4 linked regions of the Arabidopsis thaliana genome follow. The protein of the gene in region 1 interacts with the protein of each later gene in a pairwise test. Each region holds a gene or a part of one and is shown in the gene's direction. Other genes may lie near its edges. The genes, in order: ATCHX1, APC3, AT5G47420 and AT4G19865.

Evidence for each region.
Region 2: the proteins of ATCHX1 (region 1) and APC3 interact in a protein complementation assay, tested with the Arabidopsis thaliana proteins (one large-scale study listed by BioGRID).
Region 3: the proteins of ATCHX1 (region 1) and AT5G47420 interact in a protein complementation assay, tested with the Arabidopsis thaliana proteins (one large-scale study listed by BioGRID).
Region 4: the proteins of ATCHX1 (region 1) and AT4G19865 interact in a protein complementation assay, tested with the Arabidopsis thaliana proteins (one large-scale study listed by BioGRID).

Annotation. Positions count from the first base shown.
Region 1 is NC_003070.9:5,597,862-5,603,096, reverse strand, and holds ATCHX1 (Cation/hydrogen exchanger family protein), read left to right. Parts: upstream 1-1,729; coding exon 1,730-1,888; intron 1,889-2,216; coding exon 2,217-3,194; intron 3,195-3,283; coding exon 3,284-4,224; intron 4,225-4,364; coding exon 4,365-4,644; 3' UTR 4,645-4,686; downstream 4,687-5,235. Other genes in the region: OCT3 (organic cation/carnitine transporter 3), read right to left, coding at 1-176; OCT6 (organic cation/carnitine transporter 6), read right to left, coding at 4,770-5,235. UniProt on the Arabidopsis thaliana protein: May operate as a cation/H(+) antiporter.
Region 2 is NC_003076.8:2,307,992-2,312,892, forward strand, and holds APC3 (Mitochondrial substrate carrier family protein), read left to right. Parts: upstream 1-1,871; 5' UTR 1,872-2,256; coding exon 2,257-2,653; intron 2,654-2,869; coding exon 2,870-3,643; intron 3,644-3,730; coding exon 3,731-3,821; intron 3,822-3,913; coding exon 3,914-4,091; 3' UTR 4,092-4,355; downstream 4,356-4,901. UniProt on the Arabidopsis thaliana protein: Calcium-dependent mitochondrial carrier protein that catalyzes the import of ATP co-transported with metal divalent cations across the mitochondrial inner membrane in exchange for phosphate (Pi).
Region 3 is NC_003076.8:19,230,847-19,235,598, forward strand, and holds AT5G47420 (Tryptophan RNA-binding attenuator protein-like protein), read left to right. Parts: upstream 1-1,937; 5' UTR 1,938-2,166; coding exon 2,167-2,214; intron 2,215-2,436; coding exon 2,437-2,496; intron 2,497-2,591; coding exon 2,592-2,631; intron 2,632-2,716; coding exon 2,717-2,895; intron 2,896-3,001; coding exon 3,002-3,040; intron 3,041-3,143; coding exon 3,144-3,233; intron 3,234-3,342; coding exon 3,343-3,403; intron 3,404-3,490; coding exon 3,491-3,615; intron 3,616-3,706; coding exon 3,707-3,798; intron 3,799-3,877; coding exon 3,878-3,992; 3' UTR 3,993-4,220; downstream 4,221-4,752. Other genes in the region: AT5G47400 (sphingomyelin phosphodiesterase), read left to right, coding at 1-28, 151-297, 539-655, 1,129-1,740.
Region 4 is NC_003075.7:10,780,391-10,784,158, reverse strand, and holds AT4G19865 (Galactose oxidase/kelch repeat superfamily protein), read left to right. Parts: upstream 1-1,710; 5' UTR 1,711-1,793; coding exon 1,794-2,975; 3' UTR 2,976-3,267; downstream 3,268-3,768. Other genes in the region: AT4G19870 (Galactose oxidase/kelch repeat superfamily protein), read left to right, coding at 1-1,105.

The DNA of each region.
Region 1 (5,235 bases):
AATGTTTGTTGAGCGTCGAAGAACCAAGCGAATGAGACTAAAGCGGCTTGGAGAAACTGTGCCCACCCGAAGTCTCCAATGCATCGCTCTATCGTCTCCTCAAGGGATCTTGGTGGCGGAAGATTTGACTCGGACGAGTTGAAATCTGAGAGAAGCGGCCGAGTCGAGTCGGCCATATATAGGAAGAGATAGGGTTTTGTTTACTTTTATGTTTGACTTGATTTGCATGTCCAATCAATTTATGTTACTCTATATATAGAGAATAAACTACAACTTTAGAGTGGTGGGAATTTTTTGTAAATATTGTGATCGAAAATTGGATGCAATACTGCTCGTGAGACCGTGATGACTAGGATCCAGCTAGCAGGACATGTCTCTAGTCTATAATTTATTTTTGGCGTCTAACTCATTACATATATAAACACACATTTATTAGATATGTTCAGTAAGTTAAATGATTAATGGGTTTGAGATCTCTCGATGGCTAAGTGAATGGCTGAGGATGAGCCATCTCTTGGTTAATTTCTCAGACCTTCTTCCCCACCGCCGTTAATTTGCTGCATGTGATCCCCCACTCAACCACTTTGGGGTTAACTATTTATTTTAGGGTCTACTTCTTTATAATTATCATTTTTTCTTCTATGAATTATTATCATTTCTTGATATACATCTTCATAAAAAAAGCCAGTTTCATTTATTTTACATCTTCGTCAATAAATTCATATTCTTAGATTGAATCTTATTGTGAGGAAAAAAATATATTTATATATATCTTATTGTAAGATAAGTACAAAATTACAATCAATAGATGCTGTAAAACGCTATAATAAATCTGTTTCAATAATGATCAAGTTGCACTGGTTGTTGCAGTTGGACAAGATAAGCGTAATTGCTTTCCAGGGCATGGGAGATGTCTTTAATTCGAATGTCTTTGGTCATTTGGAAGCTTGTACGTAGCCTTATGCATGCAAGAGAACTTAAATAAAATATACAAATTTGTGGAGGCATAGTTTTGTTTGATACAAAACACTGGAATGTCACTGAAAGTCTAATAAAACATTTAGATGGATGCTCTCTTTTTCATGCAGGTTATATCAGTATATTTGATATTTTTATGCGGCATAATATAAATTCATTTCATCATAAGAATATGAATATAACATTTTCAAAAGGTATAATAGAAAATTTTGAAGTAACAATTAGATACAAGTTGTAATGATAATTTGACGTATACCTGTTAATTTAATTCATACATTTAGTACAATACAATTTTACATACATAAAAGCTATACTTTTTCCTTGACAAAAAATTATTGCTTTTTTTTTTTTTTCCGTTGGATGCAATGTTAATTAATACTTTTGAAAATATTAAGTCTACATAGTTTTCTTGCTGAAATCGACACTTTTCTATTATCTTACAAAAACAAAAACTTACTCCTTTAAACCTACTCCAATAATTCATGCATTTTCCGATTATAGTAAGTATATCCGCTTTTAATGGGGAAAATTAAATGTGTCGACAAGAAAAATAAATGGCGTAAAACAGAGGCATGGAGTAATCGAAGGATAATCAGGTAAATGTAAACCCCTTAAACTCCAACCAAGATAAATTAATACTTAAAAAACCTGAAAAATATATATTCTTCTTTTTAGGAGAAATTGAAGTTTCTTTCACATTTTATTTTTCCCGCATTGAACTTTGAAGAATGCTCAAAATCGAATCAAGAAAATGGATCCAAAGATGTTGTTTTGTTTGCCAGAAGGAGATGCATTGTTTAATCCACTCAATACAATGTTTATTCAAATGGCTTGCATTCTCGTCTTCTCTCAATTCTTCTACCTATTCCTAAAACCCTGTGGCCAAGCCGGTCCCGTTGCCCAGATTCTCGTAAGTTTTGTTAAAAAATACTTTCTAAACACTTTTTTTTTTGTTTTAAAGTTTTCGCAATTTGACTCCTAAACTCTATGATAGTGAAACCCAAACCCAAGTAAAATTCATGCACAAAATCGTTATTATAGTACTCATAAATTGACGTTTTATTATAGTATCCATGATTTCTATTTTTTTTACAAAATTTACTCCCTGAACTTTACGAGTGTGCACTTAAACCCTAAGAGTAGCCTGTTGTGCAAGAATGTTAATAAGGTTTCGTTTCAGGAAAATTGACATATTATAACATTCAGAAAAAACTGACGTTTTAATCATTTTTGCTCAGGCTGGGATTGTGTTGAGTTTGCTCACAATAATCCGCAAAGTCCACGAATTTTTCCTCCAGAAAGATTCAGCAAGCTATTACATCTTTTTCTCATTCCTTTTACGAACAGCCTTTGTGTTCTTGATCGGTCTCGAGATCGATCTTGACTTCATGAAACGAAACTTGAAGAACTCCATTGTCATAACTTTGGGCTCCTTAGTCATTTCTGGCATCATCTGGCTCCCTTTCCTCTGGTTTCTCATCCGTTTCATGCAGATCAAAGGCGATTTCTTAACATTTTACTTAGCCTTCCTCATTACCTTGTCCAACACGGCAGCTCCTGTCGTCATCCGTTCGATCATCGATTGGAAACTGCACACATCTGAGATCGGACGGCTAGCAATCTCATGCGGATTGTTCATAGAGATAACCAACATATTTATCTACACTATCGTCCTTTCTTTCATCTCCGGGACTATGACTGCTGATATTTTTATCTACTCATTTGCCACAGGAGTTATAATCTTGACTAATAGATTCTTAGCTTCATGGCTCCCAAAAAGAAACCCTAAAGAGAAATATCTCTCCAAAGCTGAAACGCTTGCTTTCATCATCCTTATTCTAATCATCGCGTTAACCATCGAATCCAGCAACTTAAACTCAACGCTTTTTGTGTTTATCATCGGATTAATGTTTCCAAGAGAAGGAAAAACTTACAGAACGTTGATCCAACGGTTGAGTTACCCGATTCACGAGTTTGTCCTTCCGGTTTACTTTGGTTACATCGGATTTAGATTCAGCGTCAATTCGTTAACCAAACGCCACTACCTCGTCCTTGGTATGACTGTGGCTTTAAGCCTACTGGGGAAGCTTCTAGGAGTTTTATTCGCTTGTTCATTCTTGAAGATCCCAAAGCAGTATTGGCTTTTCTTGTCAACCATGCTTTCCGTCAAAGGTCATATAGGTCTTGTTCTTCTCGACTCTAACTTGATGTACAAGGTATTACAACAAATTACGACTTCTCGTTAATTTAGGTTTCAAGTCGGTTGATAATCTTCATCTCCGTGTTATTGATTTTCTCTTTGTAGAAATGGTTTACTCCGGTAGTTCATGATATGTTCGTTGCGGCTCTAGTGATCATGACTTTGTTAAGCGGAGTTATAACATCTTTGTTGCTTAGAAGTCAAGAAAAGAGTTTCGCACATATAAAAACATCACTTGAGTTATTTGACACTACCGAGGAGCTACGAGTGTTGACGTGCGTCTATGGCGTTCGTCATGCTCGTGGATCGATCTCTTTAGTCTCTGCTCTAAGTGGCTTTTCTCCTGGAACTTCTTCTTCGCCGTTCACGCCTTACCTTATGCACCTCATACCGCTCCCGAAGAAGCGGAAAACTGAATTGTTGTACCACGAATTAGACGAAGATGCAGGAAATTCCAACGGCGGAGACGATGAGTTCGGGACTAATGAAGGACTAGAGATCAATGACTCGATCGATTCGTTTACTAGAGACAGAAAAATAATGGTCCGGCAGGTGAAACTTGTGGCGCCGATGGAGAATATGCACGAAGAGATCTGTAACGCCACTGAAGATCTTCGTGTATCGATCGTGTTTCTACCTTTCCATAAACACCAGAGGATCGACGGGAAAACCACGAATGACGGGGAAGTTTTTCGACATATGAACCGGAAGGTTCTAAAGCAAGCTCAATGTTCGATTGGTATCTTTGTGGATAGAAACATAACAGGGTTTCACCAGCTTCACGGGTCTGATTCGGTACAACACGTTGCTGCATTGTTCTTCGGTGGTCCTGATGATCGTGAGGCTCTGTCCTTGTGCAAGTGGCTTACCAATAACTCTCAGATTCACCTCACTGTCATACAGTTTGTGGCGGATGACTCAAAGACAGAGAAAATTGTCGGAGACGCGGTGACCAAGGAAAACAACGAAGTATTCTTGGAGATTGTTAGTGAAGATCAAACCGAAAACGAAACAGATCGAATCTTCTTAGAAGAATTCTATCACAGGTACCTTACAAATACTCTGCTCCTGCAAATACTCTGTTTTTGGCATGACTAGTACTCTGTTTCTATGTTCCTACACACATACTCTGTTTCCGTTACTCTGTTTTTTCATTTATAGAGATGGTTTTTATTTGTCTTGACAGATTTGTGACGACGGGGCAAGTTGGATTCATAGAGAAGCGAGTGAGCAACGGAATGCAGACGCTGACAATTCTAAGAGAGATCGGGGAGATGTATTCACTGTTTGTGGTAGGAAAAAACAGAGGAGATTGTCCAATGACTTCAGGAATGAATGATTGGGAAGAGTGTCCGGAATTAGGAACGGTCGGAGATTTCTTGGCTTCATCAAATATGGATGTAAATGCTTCTGTATTAGTAGTTCAAAGACATAGAAACTCATTTGATAGCTTTGTAGATGAATAGCAAATACTCTTTAGTTTTTACTTGACACAACTTAAAATAGTTTACTCTTAAAATCAAGACAAACATCACATAATAGAAAACATATGAAAATGGAGAATGTTTGAGCTAAACAAACTCTTAAACTCTCAGCAAACATGGCTGGTATTTACGGCTTGATCTCTCTTTTCTTGTTCTTCCATCGAATCGCAGAGACTCAAACCTTTTGTCTCAGGCAGAATCAAAACGAACATTCCTAAACCAGACATTGCAATTCCAAAAATCGCAAACGATACTGAGGGTATGTATCTTCCAATCGAAGCAATTAGCGGACAACAAGCTCCTCCAACGACAAGAGCCTGTCTAAACATCATTGTTGCCGAGCTTCTCACACAAGTTGGAAACATTTCAACCATAAAAACTGCCATAAGGTTAAATCCGATTCTAGCGCAGAAGAATGTTCCGAGTTCGAAGGCAAACGCGATCTCTGTTTTGCCGAGAATGCTGAGAACGAAACAGAGCACCCCTGATGCCCCACCGAGTAAGGTATTCACAAGAACAGAGCTTCTTCTGTTGAATCTCTCCAATAAGATCGGAGTGATAACAAAAGTAGGC
Region 2 (4,901 bases), on another chromosome or scaffold:
TTTTTCTTATCATCATATCAATTGAAATGATGGTTACGATGATAATGAATATCGTTATTATGAAATACTTTCCGACCAACGCGTTATCTCCTCTTTGTTGTCTTAAAAGTTTTGCTTATAGATTTTTCGTCTTTTATGCTTGTTTCTTCATTTTTTACATGCGTGTTAGATCATTAGCGTAAATGGTTAGTGCTTAAAACTTATTGGTATGCGAATCTCGGCCGCCGACAAATATTTGTACTTCAACTTCAAGACATTCGTGGAACTTCAAAAACAATCTTTCGTTTTTTCAAACAAACAAAATAATTTGAATTCGTTTCGCGAATGAGGCGCGTGTATGACACCTCTGTCTCTGTGACTATAGCGAAGCTAGGTTTACTTATGATGAAAAAAGTTCAGTTCAAAACCAGTTTTTTGTTAGTCGTGAAAGTCTATTAACCTGTTTTTCTTTATAAAATTTCCCAATATAGTATTAATATATGAAATTAACAAATCGTTGAATTGAAAACTTTTAACTATCAGTCAAAGATGAATATTAGCCTGAATATGTTAAGTGATCAATTAACTAATTAATTAGCTAGGCATATTAACTGTGGGATCTCCTCTGGGCTTTGGGCGGTTTGGATAAAGTAACATTTGTCGGGAAAACAGTGAACAAGTGCTACACAATTTTTCAAATGTAAAGACAAAAAGTTCCATTATGTTGCAAACACGAGACACAAATATTTATAATAGAAGAGTTGTTTGAACAAATTAAGACAGCCAGATTATCATATGTTTTAAAAAGAATTGTTATCGAAAAAACAAAACAAATTTTGTAGAAAGTTCATGTTCTTTCAACATGATACACAATTCCAAATACTCAAAAGTCTTTGATATTTCATATATAGATACGATTACGAATATGGACCGTAGCTAAGAAAACAGTTCAAATAACTAAACACAAATACAGCTATTATATAAAAATACATCCCGACAGAAAGAATATAGTTAAAAGAAAATCAAGAGATTAAAACGTTGACAAAGGAAGGGAAATTGGGGATGGCCGCACGCACGCCGGCCTCACCGCCCTGTCAACCTTTGCGGCCTTCTAAGCTATCGCAAATCTCAACCACTGCCTTTACCTTCTATTTCAAACTTATCGGCCCAAAGACGTATGAATACGTGCATGTATACCATATATACACAATATTAAATCATTTAAAATACGTATGTATGTTCACGTTCAGGGATGTTCAAATTGCACCGACTCACTCAGTTTGTAAATGTAACGCAGCCCAATTCTGTTTCACTAATAGTCTGGCCCATTTCACAATCATCCAAAGCGAGTTTTTAAAGGTGATTTCATGATTTGCTAGGTAGGTCAGATTCTTTTGAGATTTCACATTCCAGACAGTATAGAGCGAAGAGAAACTGCAAAATTGTACAAAGAATGGCAAAAAAAAAAAAAAAAGCGTTTTTGTGAAAAAAATCCGACCTGCCGGAATCGAACCAGCGACCTAAAGATTTGCTGTCACAGACTACAGTCTTCCGCTCTACCAACTGAGCTAAGGTCGGTTATTGATTACTAATACAAAGATTTGTTAATTAACCTAAGTAATCTTGGTAGTCATGTCCTCTAATTTCCAAACCGGAGACAAAACCGGTGAGAAGATCGCTACAAAAATTACCAATCTCTAACAAAATTATTTAAATTAAAAATCTCCATAAACTTATTTTTCCCTCTCTGTAATTTTGGATAGGTTTTTAATACGGTCAAACGCATTTTTTTTACTTCTACTAATCAAGCACATTTGACCATTTCCGGTTTTGGTTCAAACCGGAAAACGCACGATTTCAATTTGACTGATTCGCACGTGTCGTGTGGGAATAGCACGTGGAGAATAGCAAAAGGTCAGGGGGAGGGAAGATAGAGAGATATGTTACCGTCACTTGCGGTTGACAGATGACGGAGCCGGATTTTCCTTCACCGGCCATCCATCGTTTATAGCCACTGACCCACAACAACACCATTAACCCTTTTTGCTTCTGACTCCAATAGTGAAGTAAATTTCCAAACTTTTGTGTTTCTTCTTCGACGTGAAGACTCTTTCGGTGGTGTGTTGTGTTGTGACTTGTGAGGTCTTCTTTCTCAAAACCCAGGACTCACTCTCTGTATAATAAATACGCAAGAAGATGAATGATCCTTAGAATCATTCAATTCTCTTGTAAAGCATTCTAATTTGGGGCAATCTCGATATTGATCGCGAATCAGCAATGGAGTCATCGAAGCCCAAAAACCGTAACCCGATGAAGAAACCTGTATCCATCACGATGGAGCATGTTCTATTGGCGTTACGTGAGACAATGGATGAGAGAGAGATCAGGATTCGTAGTTTGTTTGATTTCTTTGATAATTCGAATTTAGGGTTCTTAGATTATGCCCAGATCGAAAAGGGTCTTGCTTCGCTTCAGATTCCTCCTGAGTACAAGTACGCTAGAGATTTGTTTAGAGTCTGCGACGCTAATCGAGATGGGCGTGTTGATTACCAGGAGTTTCGTCGATACATTGATGCTAAGGAGCTTGAGCTATACAGGATTTTCCAAGCCATTGATGTTGAGCATAATGGCTGCATTTTGCCTGAGGAGCTTTGGGAGGCTCTTGTTAAGGCCGGTATGTTACTGTTCCATTTATACTGTTACTTTTTGCTATTGATCATCATGTAAAGTTTGTACCTTTATGAGAGATTTGTGGATTTTGATTGTTTATGGTGAAGTTGCTATATTGGCATTGTGTTGAGATGTTAGAACGTGTTTGATTGTTTATGTTATTTCATTGGATTGTTGAGTATCACCAACCTATATAAGCCCTACAGTTTTGTTCTTGTAGGCATTGAGATCGATGATGAGGAACTCGCTCGTTTTGTGGAGCATGTTGATAAGGACAACAATGGAACTATAACGTTTGAAGAGTGGAGAGATTTTCTTTTGTTATATCCTCATGAAGCCACCCTTGAAAACATATATCATCATTGGGAAAGGGTGTGCTTGATAGATATTGGGGAGCAAGCTGTTATACCGGATGGTATAAGTAAACATGTGAAAAGAAGCAGATTACTTCTCGCTGGAGGACTAGCCGGAGCTGTTTCTAGAACTGCAACTGCGCCTCTTGATCGTCTGAAGGTTGTTTTGCAAGTTCAAAGGGCACATGCAGGGGTCCTCCCGACAATTAAGAAGATATGGAGAGAAGATAAGTTGATGGGTTTCTTTAGAGGTAATGGGTTAAATGTCATGAAGGTTGCTCCTGAAAGTGCCATTAAGTTTTGTGCTTACGAAATGCTAAAACCCATGATTGGAGGGGAGGATGGTGATATTGGTACAAGTGGGAGACTTATGGCAGGTGGAATGGCTGGTGCATTGGCTCAAACCGCTATTTACCCTATGGATCTCGTGAAGACTCGGTTACAGACTTGTGTCAGTGAAGGTGGAAAGGCACCTAAGTTGTGGAAGCTTACAAAAGATATATGGGTTCGGGAGGGACCTCGGGCTTTCTACAAGGGTCTGTTTCCTTCTCTTCTTGGGATTGTTCCTTATGCAGGAATTGACCTCGCTGCATATGAAACGCTAAAAGACTTGTCCAGAACATATATTCTTCAGGACACTGGTTAGAGCATCAAAACCTTAAATCCTTATTCTTATTTGCATATCATTGTTCTGTGATATGATACTAAAATAGCTTAAAATTCTGCAGAGCCGGGTCCTCTGATACAGCTGAGCTGTGGAATGACATCAGGAGCCCTTGGAGCATCATGTGTTTACCCGTTACAGGTAGTAAGAACAAGGTAAAAACCCGAAATTCCGAAAACTTGTAACCGATTTTTTTTAATGTCTTGTCTGCGATTGTAAAAAACAAGTTTGATCCTTGTCATGTCAGAATGCAAGCGGATAGTTCGAAGACGACAATGAAGCAAGAGTTTATGAATACGATGAAAGGAGAAGGTCTTAGAGGTTTCTACAGAGGACTATTACCCAATCTTCTCAAAGTAGTTCCAGCGGCAAGCATCACGTACATTGTTTATGAAGCTATGAAGAAAAATATGGCTCTTGATTAGCCAATACGGTCTTGAAATTTTCTCCGAGTTAGTTTATTCTTTTTTGTTCCCAAGGGGTCACTCTCTCTAGGTTATGTGAGAAATTCAAAAACAAGACAGAGATTGTAACATGTCTTCGTTGATGTGTTCAAGATCAAGACTCAAGTCTGTAAACTCACATCTCCAAAAAAGATTTTGAATGGTTAAGTCATGAACTCACATCTCCAAAAATGATTTTGAATGGTTACATCATTAAAGATATCTATCAACTAATTTTTTTAAAAAGGTCTTACTGCATTTTATAAATAATAAATGAATTTTTATATAAATCGTGATCAGTTGTAAGTCACTTTTCTAATATTTTAAAGTGTATAGCCTATTTAAGTATATGATCTGATTTAATTAAATGGAAAACAAAATATTAAAAGTATATTCTTGAAATTGGGACATATATTTTTATGGTGATAAAATTTAATTATAGATTTGTAATTTGATGGAAATTTTTTTGATAAATAGTTATCAGCAATATAATAAAGTTAACACTCTTATAACAACTTAACAAAAAAAACACTCTTATAACAAAAAAGAAGAAGTTATCAGCAATATATTTATACTGTTTTCGTTGACTTAAAAATATAACTTATAACACACCTATGATTTATATATCTCAATTATTGTTTTGTTGCGATCATTGATATTCTTTTTTAGACTATGTTTCAGAATGATGACAACAATGTTATACCTAGACATATATAGTTTTAAATGTTGTTTTCAGCTTTAACCTATATTTATTTTAAAAATCAGCGAGCTTTTCTTTTCGTTTTTTTAGAA
Region 3 (4,752 bases), on another chromosome or scaffold:
AGAAATAATAACTCAGATGGCTCTTAAGGTTTGATCCCTGGCTTAAGCTATTTTCTCAAATTCATGAGTTTATCTGTAGAATATGGATTGCAAGACTTCTGTTTGAAATCTTAATGTGACTGAATGGTTCTACTGTGTCTCCCTAAATAGGTGATGAGTACGTTGACATCGTCAAAAGAGCTTTTGGTTCTGATGAAGAATATTGATAAAGCCTTTCACTCTAAACAAACTGGACCAGGAAACTCAAAAGTGAACGAATTGTCTAGATTTTCTCCATCTATCCGTGAGCAGTTGAAGGTATGCCTATATTTTTCCTCAACACCAGTTGTTATCTGTTCTCCGGTCATAGAACGCTTTTCCAGTGATTTTACTCTTATGTATCCGCCATCCTTTGTCTTCATACTTATTTAGCTTTTTCATCATAACACCCTTGGAAGTTTAACAAAAGACTGTAAAATCAATCTTTTTTTCACATAAGTCACATAAGTACTCAAACTCTATACTGAAAAATCATGTTTAACTGCTTGTGGAACTTCAGGATTGGGAAGATGGGTTGTGTGAGAGCAACGCTGATGGCTCATACTTGCATGAAAACTGGAACAAAGACTTGAAACTCTTTAGTGATGGTGAAGATGGCGGACAACAACTGCTTCAGGTTAATGTCTTCCTTTTATAACCTACTGTAGTGATAAGTTAGGAATAAAAAAATGGAAGATAATCTTTGTAGGATGATATCTTCAAATGTACTTAAAATAGCTCTATTATGGAATGATCTAGTTGACAAATATATAGATAAACCTTCAGATTTACTTGTTTGTTGTTTGTAGCCTTCTATCTATATTAACAGGAGAATTTGTTACTTGACAATTAGATGAGTACGCAGTCATCGGCAATGTTGTGAGCTATTAACTTGGGAATTTGTTTTTTGAGAAATTGTTCACGGAAATATACTTTGAGAACTAGTTCTCCTACATTTGTTTTTCAGTAACCTAGTTGTATCGCATGTTTTCTTGTTTCCGATACTCTACTTTAGTTTATACGACTCTTGAATCCTTTAGCTCATAGGGGGGGAGTGGAGCTTAAAACCTGTTTTACTTTGCTGAAGGCGTTTGTTCTTTGCATTTGCAGCTATTCATACTGCGGGCAGAAGCCGAACTGCAAACTGTATCCGATAAAAACCTCACAGAGGCCCTTAAGTGTGTAGATTCACTAAAATCAGCGGTTTCCAACTTCTTTGGCGGGCATGTCGTAAAACCAATCGCTTTTTTCCTAGAGCCGGACCATCCTCAGAAAAACCGTGACGAGCTCTTCAAGCCACGTGGTGCTGGTAACCAAACAGCAGGCGGTGTGAAGTACAAAGGGGACTGGATGACCCGTCCGGTGTCAGAAGACGAGGTTGCATTGATGGCTAAACTGCTAATCAACATGTCTATTTGGCTCAATGAACGCCTCGGGCTGAACAAATCTGAGACGAGCAACGACAAGAAAGAGAATTCAGAGTCAGTATCATATGTAGATGTATCAGGGGAAGATGTGGGAAACGTTGCAGGACCTGGAGATGCTGCGAAGATGCTGTTGCGAGGGATGGTGATGGTATGTGGCACAGTGTTGCAGCTGATGAGAAGATTCGGGATTCGAGTCAATCTTCGGGTTATGGCTTCAAAAAAGTTTCTGATGCTTTTATTTCTCTATGTCCTGTTTCTTGTAGTCAAAAGGGTAGTCACAAGGATGATTTGGTAGATGGGTGTCCAAAATGTGTTAAAAGTTGAAGAAGTAAAAGGAAATAGACACTCTAACTCGCGTAGAGCGTTTGATAGGAATTGGAAAGCTTATTTACGAAACAGGGACTGAGTTTTTTGGTAATTTACATGTTCGCATTACAAATTGAAGCGTGTCTTTACTTGTTACAACCAATGAGAATGGTCCACGTAATCAGTCTCCACGTGTCATCTGCCAATAAGATCCACCCATCAGCAAAATTCATCGGTCGTTCGTCGCTGACTATCACAATTCCGAACACCAAATTTCGAATTTCTGCCACTTGCTTTGTGATCTGATCGTTCGAAATTGACCGGAGAATTCTTCTGTGTTCTTAGATCTGTCGCGAATTTGTTAAAGCTCCTCAGAAGGTTTTGGTTACAGATCTTCTCTGTGGTCTTCACCACTATGGCCGCTCCGTTTTTTTCAACTCCATTTCAGCCTTATGTCTACCAGGTGTGCTTCTTCTCTCTTTGATCATTTCGCTTTCAAAATGATGAGGTCGTGTTCTTCTTAGTTGCAATTTGACTAAATTTGAGGTTCATTGTAAGTAGGATTTAGAGAAATTCCATCTTTGATTAGTTTAACTTAGCTGGGAGAACGCATAATCGGGCCAATTAGGGATTTTAGATCATGACATTGTTCTAGTGTTGTCTAATAAGTGGCCATTTGATGCAGAGTCAACAAGATACTATTACACCGTTCCAGATTTTGGGTGGTGAATCCCAAGTTGTTCAGGTACATTTGCTTTCTTAATATAGCGTGATCTTCGTATTTGTGGGTTATATGCCATATAATTTTAACTTCTCTAACCATTGCTCGTATGTTGGCAGATAATGTTAAAGTCAGAGGAGAAAGTCATTGCTAAGCCTGGTACTTCCACTGAATAACTCGCTTCTCTACTCAGTTTTGTATAATGGTTTCAAGTTTCAACTAATTTTGTGTTATGGTGATGTAGCTTCCATGTGCTACATGTCTGGCTCCATCGAGATGGAAAATACATACACTCCTGAACAAGAAGTTGGAGTTCTGCAGTGGATTTTGGGCAAGAGTGTAAGCAGTGTTGTTCTTCGGAATACTGGGCAAAACGACGGGTTTGTTGGTATTGCTGCACCTTATTTGGCTAGGATTCTCCCGGTTAGTGATTTTAGCTTGTCCATGTTGGCATAATCATCTTCCATTTCACCCTTAATGTATACCGCCTGATTCCTTGTTGTTTTTGTGATCTTTGTTTTCCATGTAGATTGATTTGGCAATGTTTGGAGGTGAGATCTTATGCCAGGTAGAGTCTTTTTTCCTAGATTTTGAACACTTAGCTATCAGCTTCTTCTTCACTCAGATCAAGCTCTTACAGAGTCGCCTGACCTTTTCTTCACTTTCTGTAGCCAGATGCATTCCTTTGTTCTGTCCATGATGTGAAGGTTGTCAACTCCGTTGACCAGAGAGCAAGAAACATTGTTGCCGCTGGTGCAGAGGTAAGAACTAAGAAGGAAAATACGTTGATTTGGTTTCTGATGCAATTATTATTCTTAACAAAATTCTGCAACCCGTTGTCTGGCTTCTACTCACAAATTGCTGTTGCAGGGATTTCTGAGACAACGCCTATCTGGACAAGGTCTTGCTTTCATCCTCGCAGGTGGCTCTGGTGAGATTTTATCCCAATGAAATGCTGTTTCCGTTGAGGCCTCATCCCCTTCAATAAAACTGACATTTAACATCCCAAACATGTTAGTTGTACAAAAAGTTCTGGAGGTAGGAGAAGTTTTCTCCATTGACGTTTCCTGTATTGCTGCTCTCACACCCTCTATCGATGTCCGAATCAAAAACAATGCTCCTTTTAGACGAGCACTATTCGGGGTACATTTTCACATATACTTTGTTTCAATGAGAAGAAGATTCAGGTTTTTGTTTTGTTTCTCAACTGTTTTAATCTTTCAACATTCAAAAGGGTGATAACGTAGTAATGGCGACTCTAACGGGGCCTGGCATTGTCTTCATTCAAAGCTTACCGTTTCATCGGCTCTCGCAGCGTATTGCAAGGTAAAGCAACCAACAATCCAAATCTCCATTTATGTTGCAAATATGTTTATATAAAGTGTGAATGGTTTTTCTGTGACAGGTCGGTAACGTCGCCAAACATGAGAGAGAATCCAAAATTGCTGATACAGATAGCTATATTTGCGTTCCTAGCATACGCTGTGATTTTGTCATCGTTGATCTTAACCGAAGTTTGAAAGCAGAGAGATAGAAAGAATTATCCGACCAACAAACTAACGTTGTAATTGTTCAAATTATCTCGGGTTTGGACTTTGGATGGATAGAGTGAAGATGAATTAGACACATCTCAAACCATTTTCTTTTCGTTTACTAGTGAGTTTAGGCACTTGTGTTATATTGATATTGCTCCTATATATTGAAAAGTGAAAACGTAGATACCGAGTTGAACAAAAATTGGATTCTTTACTTAAATCACACATCAATTTAAATTAATTAATTTGATTTTTTGTTTTGTTAAATAATTAATGTCTAATGATATTATTGATTAATTTTCATCGGATGGTTAAGAAATTGGATTAATTCAAAAAAAAAAATCTGGATTAATTCGTTACCAATGGATCATATAGTCAAGACTCAAGAGAATGTCTCAATGATATCATGGACTAATTTTCAGAAAATGGATTATAGCAGGAGTTAATAGTTTTCCAAAAACATTGAACTGTCAAAAACAGTAAACATGCTCAAGCAAAAATTCACAATTTTGAAAACAGCGAAATGTCATAGGTGTTAACACACGAATTTCAACAATATACAATACTCCGTTTTTTCCGTTTACTTTTTAAACTATTCGAATTACTCATGGATACGGATCTTACGATACGATGAATACATTTACGTTATAAGAAGTGACTACAACCATTCTTAAACATGTTTACGATTCGCACATAAGATCTCTCAAATCAGTGAAGCTAGACCAACAAGAATAAATTTGATATG
Region 4 (3,768 bases), on another chromosome or scaffold:
CCCAGACGAAATCGTCGAGAACTGCTTAGCTCGGATCTCGAGGTCGTACTATCCAACACTCTCAATCGTTTCGAAAAGCTTCCGTTCAATTATCTCATCCACCGAGCTCTATGTAGCCAGATCTCACCTCCGAAACACCGAAGAGTGTGTCTATGTCTGTCTATCTGATAAAAGTTTTGAATTTCCCAAATGGTTTACACTCTGGGTTAACCCTAATCAAGCCAACTCCATGGTTGAGAAGAAGAGGAAGAAGAAGAAGACAATTGGAAAGTTGTTGGTTCCAATTCCCTCTTCTAATCTTTCTCCTGTATCAAAATCCGCCATAGCTGTTGGTTCTGAAATATATGTGATCGGCGGAAAAGTCGATGGTGCACTGTCTTCGGCCGTGCGAATCCTCGATTGTCGCAGTAACACTTGGCGCGATGCTCCTAGCATGACCGTAGCCCGAAAGAGGCCTTTCATATGTCTCTACGATGGGAAAATTTACGTAATTGGAGGGTACAACAAATTATCAGAAAGCGAACCATGGGCTGAGGTATTCGATATAAAGACTCAGACTTGGGAATGCCTTTCTGATCCGGGTACTGAGATACGTAACTGTACCATTTACAGAATAGCAGAGATCGAAGGAAAGATTCACTTTGGGTATACACAAAAAACGTATGCTTATGACCCAAAGCAAGGTGAATGGGAATGCTGTGAAGGCGAGGTTGCATTTCCGAGGTCCCAATGTGTGATGGAGAGTGTATTGTACACCTTTGCTAATAACTACACTTGGGAGGACGACTACGGGTGCAAGTGGTGGTCAACGGATGGATATGGGGAAAAGGTAAAAGGGTTGGAGTCACTATTAGAGATACACAAGAGGAATGGTGGCTCAAGTGATAATACGACTAAACTAGTTGCCTGTGGTGGGAAACTCTTACTTTTATGGGAAGGGTACATGAAGCATAATCCCAATAATAGGAAGAAGATTTGGTGCGCGGTTATCGCGTTAGAAAAGCGTGATGGAGGTAAGGTTTGGGGAATTGTTGAGTGGGTTGATGTTGTGCATATCGTCCCCACATCATGCAAGCTCTTGCATTGTCTCGTTGTCTCGGTTTGATTAACTTGTATGATACAAGTTGTATCCAGGTATGTCAGTCCTTAACTCCATCTTTGGATCCCTTGTCTTAGTTAATTTGAGTTCATTTAGTTTTATAAAAAGTTCATGCTTCTTTTTTTTTTCCCTGTACATATATGATGTTAGTATGTATAACATTATATATATATGAATGGATTGTTGACCAGTTGGAAAGAGGAGAAGGAAGCAAAGGCAAAAAGGAGTGCAACATGGATTACCTTTCGCCTCATGATCAACACAGTGTCTTCTCATGTAGATGATCTAACCATCTTTCAAACTTTGTGTAGAGTTTCGTGACTTCTGACTTCAGTTTGTTAGAAATATCCTCCTCATGAGTTGTGTCTTTAACATCTTTCAAACTTTGTTTTAACATTGTAACTTCATCATGAATTCTTTGTTTTGAGAAAAGAAACAAATTCTGTTTAATATGTTACAGTTTGCAATCTCCACGGTTAAAAACAATGTTGGTTAGAAGTATCTACATATTAAGGGACTTCTGTGATCGAAAACAAAAGTAGGGAACACATTGGTAAAACAAAAAACACTAGGGTTATTTTGTTATATACCAAAGAGGTCCTCTTTTTTTTTTTTTTGGTCCTCTTCATATTTTCTCATTTGACCCATTTTAGTCAAGATCCCGTCACTGCCGCTGATTGTAATCACAGTGGCTATGAACTTTCAAGTGGAACCACCGGAGAAGAAGAAGACTAAGAACTCGTCTCCACCACATTCACCTCCGTCGTCGTCATCTCCGTCGCTTTCTCTACTTCCAGAAGAAATCGTCGTGCACTGCTTAGCTCGGATCTCAAGATTGTACTACCCAACGCTCTCACTCGTTTCGAAAAGCTTCCGCTCAATTCTCTCTTCCACGGAGCTCTACGCAACCAGATCTCACCTCGGAAGCACTGAACAGTGTGTCTATCTCTGTCTATGGGATCCCAGTTATCAATTTCCCCAATGGCTTAGACTCTTAGTTAACCCTAACCGAACCCTAGCCAACTCCATCATTAAGAAGAGAAGGAAGAAGAAGAAGACAACTGGACAAATGTTAGTTCCGCTTACCTCGTCTAAGTTTACATCAGTATCAAAAGCCACCGTTGTAGTTGGTTCTGAGATTTATGTACTTGGCGGTCCAGTCGACTCCGCCGTGCGGGTGCTTGATTGTTGCAGTCACACTTGGCGCGATGCACCGAGCATGAATGTATCCCGAATGAATGCCTGGGCATGTTTCCACGATGGGAAAATTTACGTAATGGGAGGTTGCCAAGGATTAAAGGACGAACCATGGGCTGAGGTGTTCAATACAAAGACTCAGACTTGGGAAGGCCTCCCTGAGCCGGGTAGTGAGGTACGTAAGTGTTCCATTGACAGAAGCGGAGTGATTGAAGGAAAGATTGAGTTTGGAAATGTAAACGAGATGTGTGCTTACGACACGAAGCTATGTAAATGGGAGTATTGTGTAAACAAAAGTGCAGCTTTGAGGTCAGAATGTATGATTGAGAATGTTTCATATGGCTTCTGGAACATGCGCTTGTTGTGGTATGACAATGACATACAAAAGGATTATTGGAAAAGATTGGAAGGGTTAGAGTCACTAGATGATAAGTACATGAGGAATGGTGGCTCAAGTGGTAATACGACTAAACTAGTTGCATGTGGTGGGAAACTCTTACTTTTATGGGAAGGATATATGAAGCATAACCCCAATAATAGGAAGAAGATTTGGTGTGCGGTGATCGCGATAGAGAAGTGTGATGGAGGTGGAGTTTGGGGAATTGTTGAGAGTGTTGATGTTTTGTATACTGTCCCCATATCATGTCAGCTCTTGCATTGTCTCGTTGTCTCGGTTTGATTGACTTGTATTCAGGTATGATCAGTTCAAAATCAGTTTGTAGGATCTAACTGTAGTATAACATAGTATGAACGATGGATTGTTGACCAGTTGGATAGAGGAGAAGGAATCAGAGGCAAGAGGAGAGCAACAAAGTGTATGAGATTAATTAGTTAAGGTTAAGAGGCACATTTTGTCAAACTAGCTACTATGGCATATTAGTGTTTGTCTAATCCCTTGTTATTAATGAATCTGATTTGTTGTTTGAGTTATCATGCTATGAATTGAGTCTTTCTTTACTAACAAGTAGGGATGGCTTGCAAAACTAAAAATCCGTAGGTATGATCTTTTGGATTAACCCTTTCTGGGTCATCCTTCACGAACAAAAACATTGATTTCTCTTCGCCTCATGGTCGACACAATTCTCTCCTCTAAATGAGAATCGCACCAATGATAAAATCTTTCACACTTGAGTTGAGTTATGTCCTTCAGAAAGTTATAACCATCGTCAATTCGTCATCAATAAAAGAGATGCTGAGTTCTGTTTGGAGTATGGGCTTCTGTAATGAGAAAAACAAAAGGTAGAGAACAAATTGGTAAAAGAAATTACAACTTGGTTTTAATCTAAAATAATGTGCCCATGTCTATAAATAATTCCAAGTATTGAAGTATCTCGAAACTTTAGAGTTAAATAATATTTTATATTATTGCTTTTTATGTCTCAATAATTCAATTGTCACTCTTGCGTTATCCATTTGAAGATGGATCCATCACTATGACAATTATTTTTCTGCCACCTTGACTTGTACGGCTT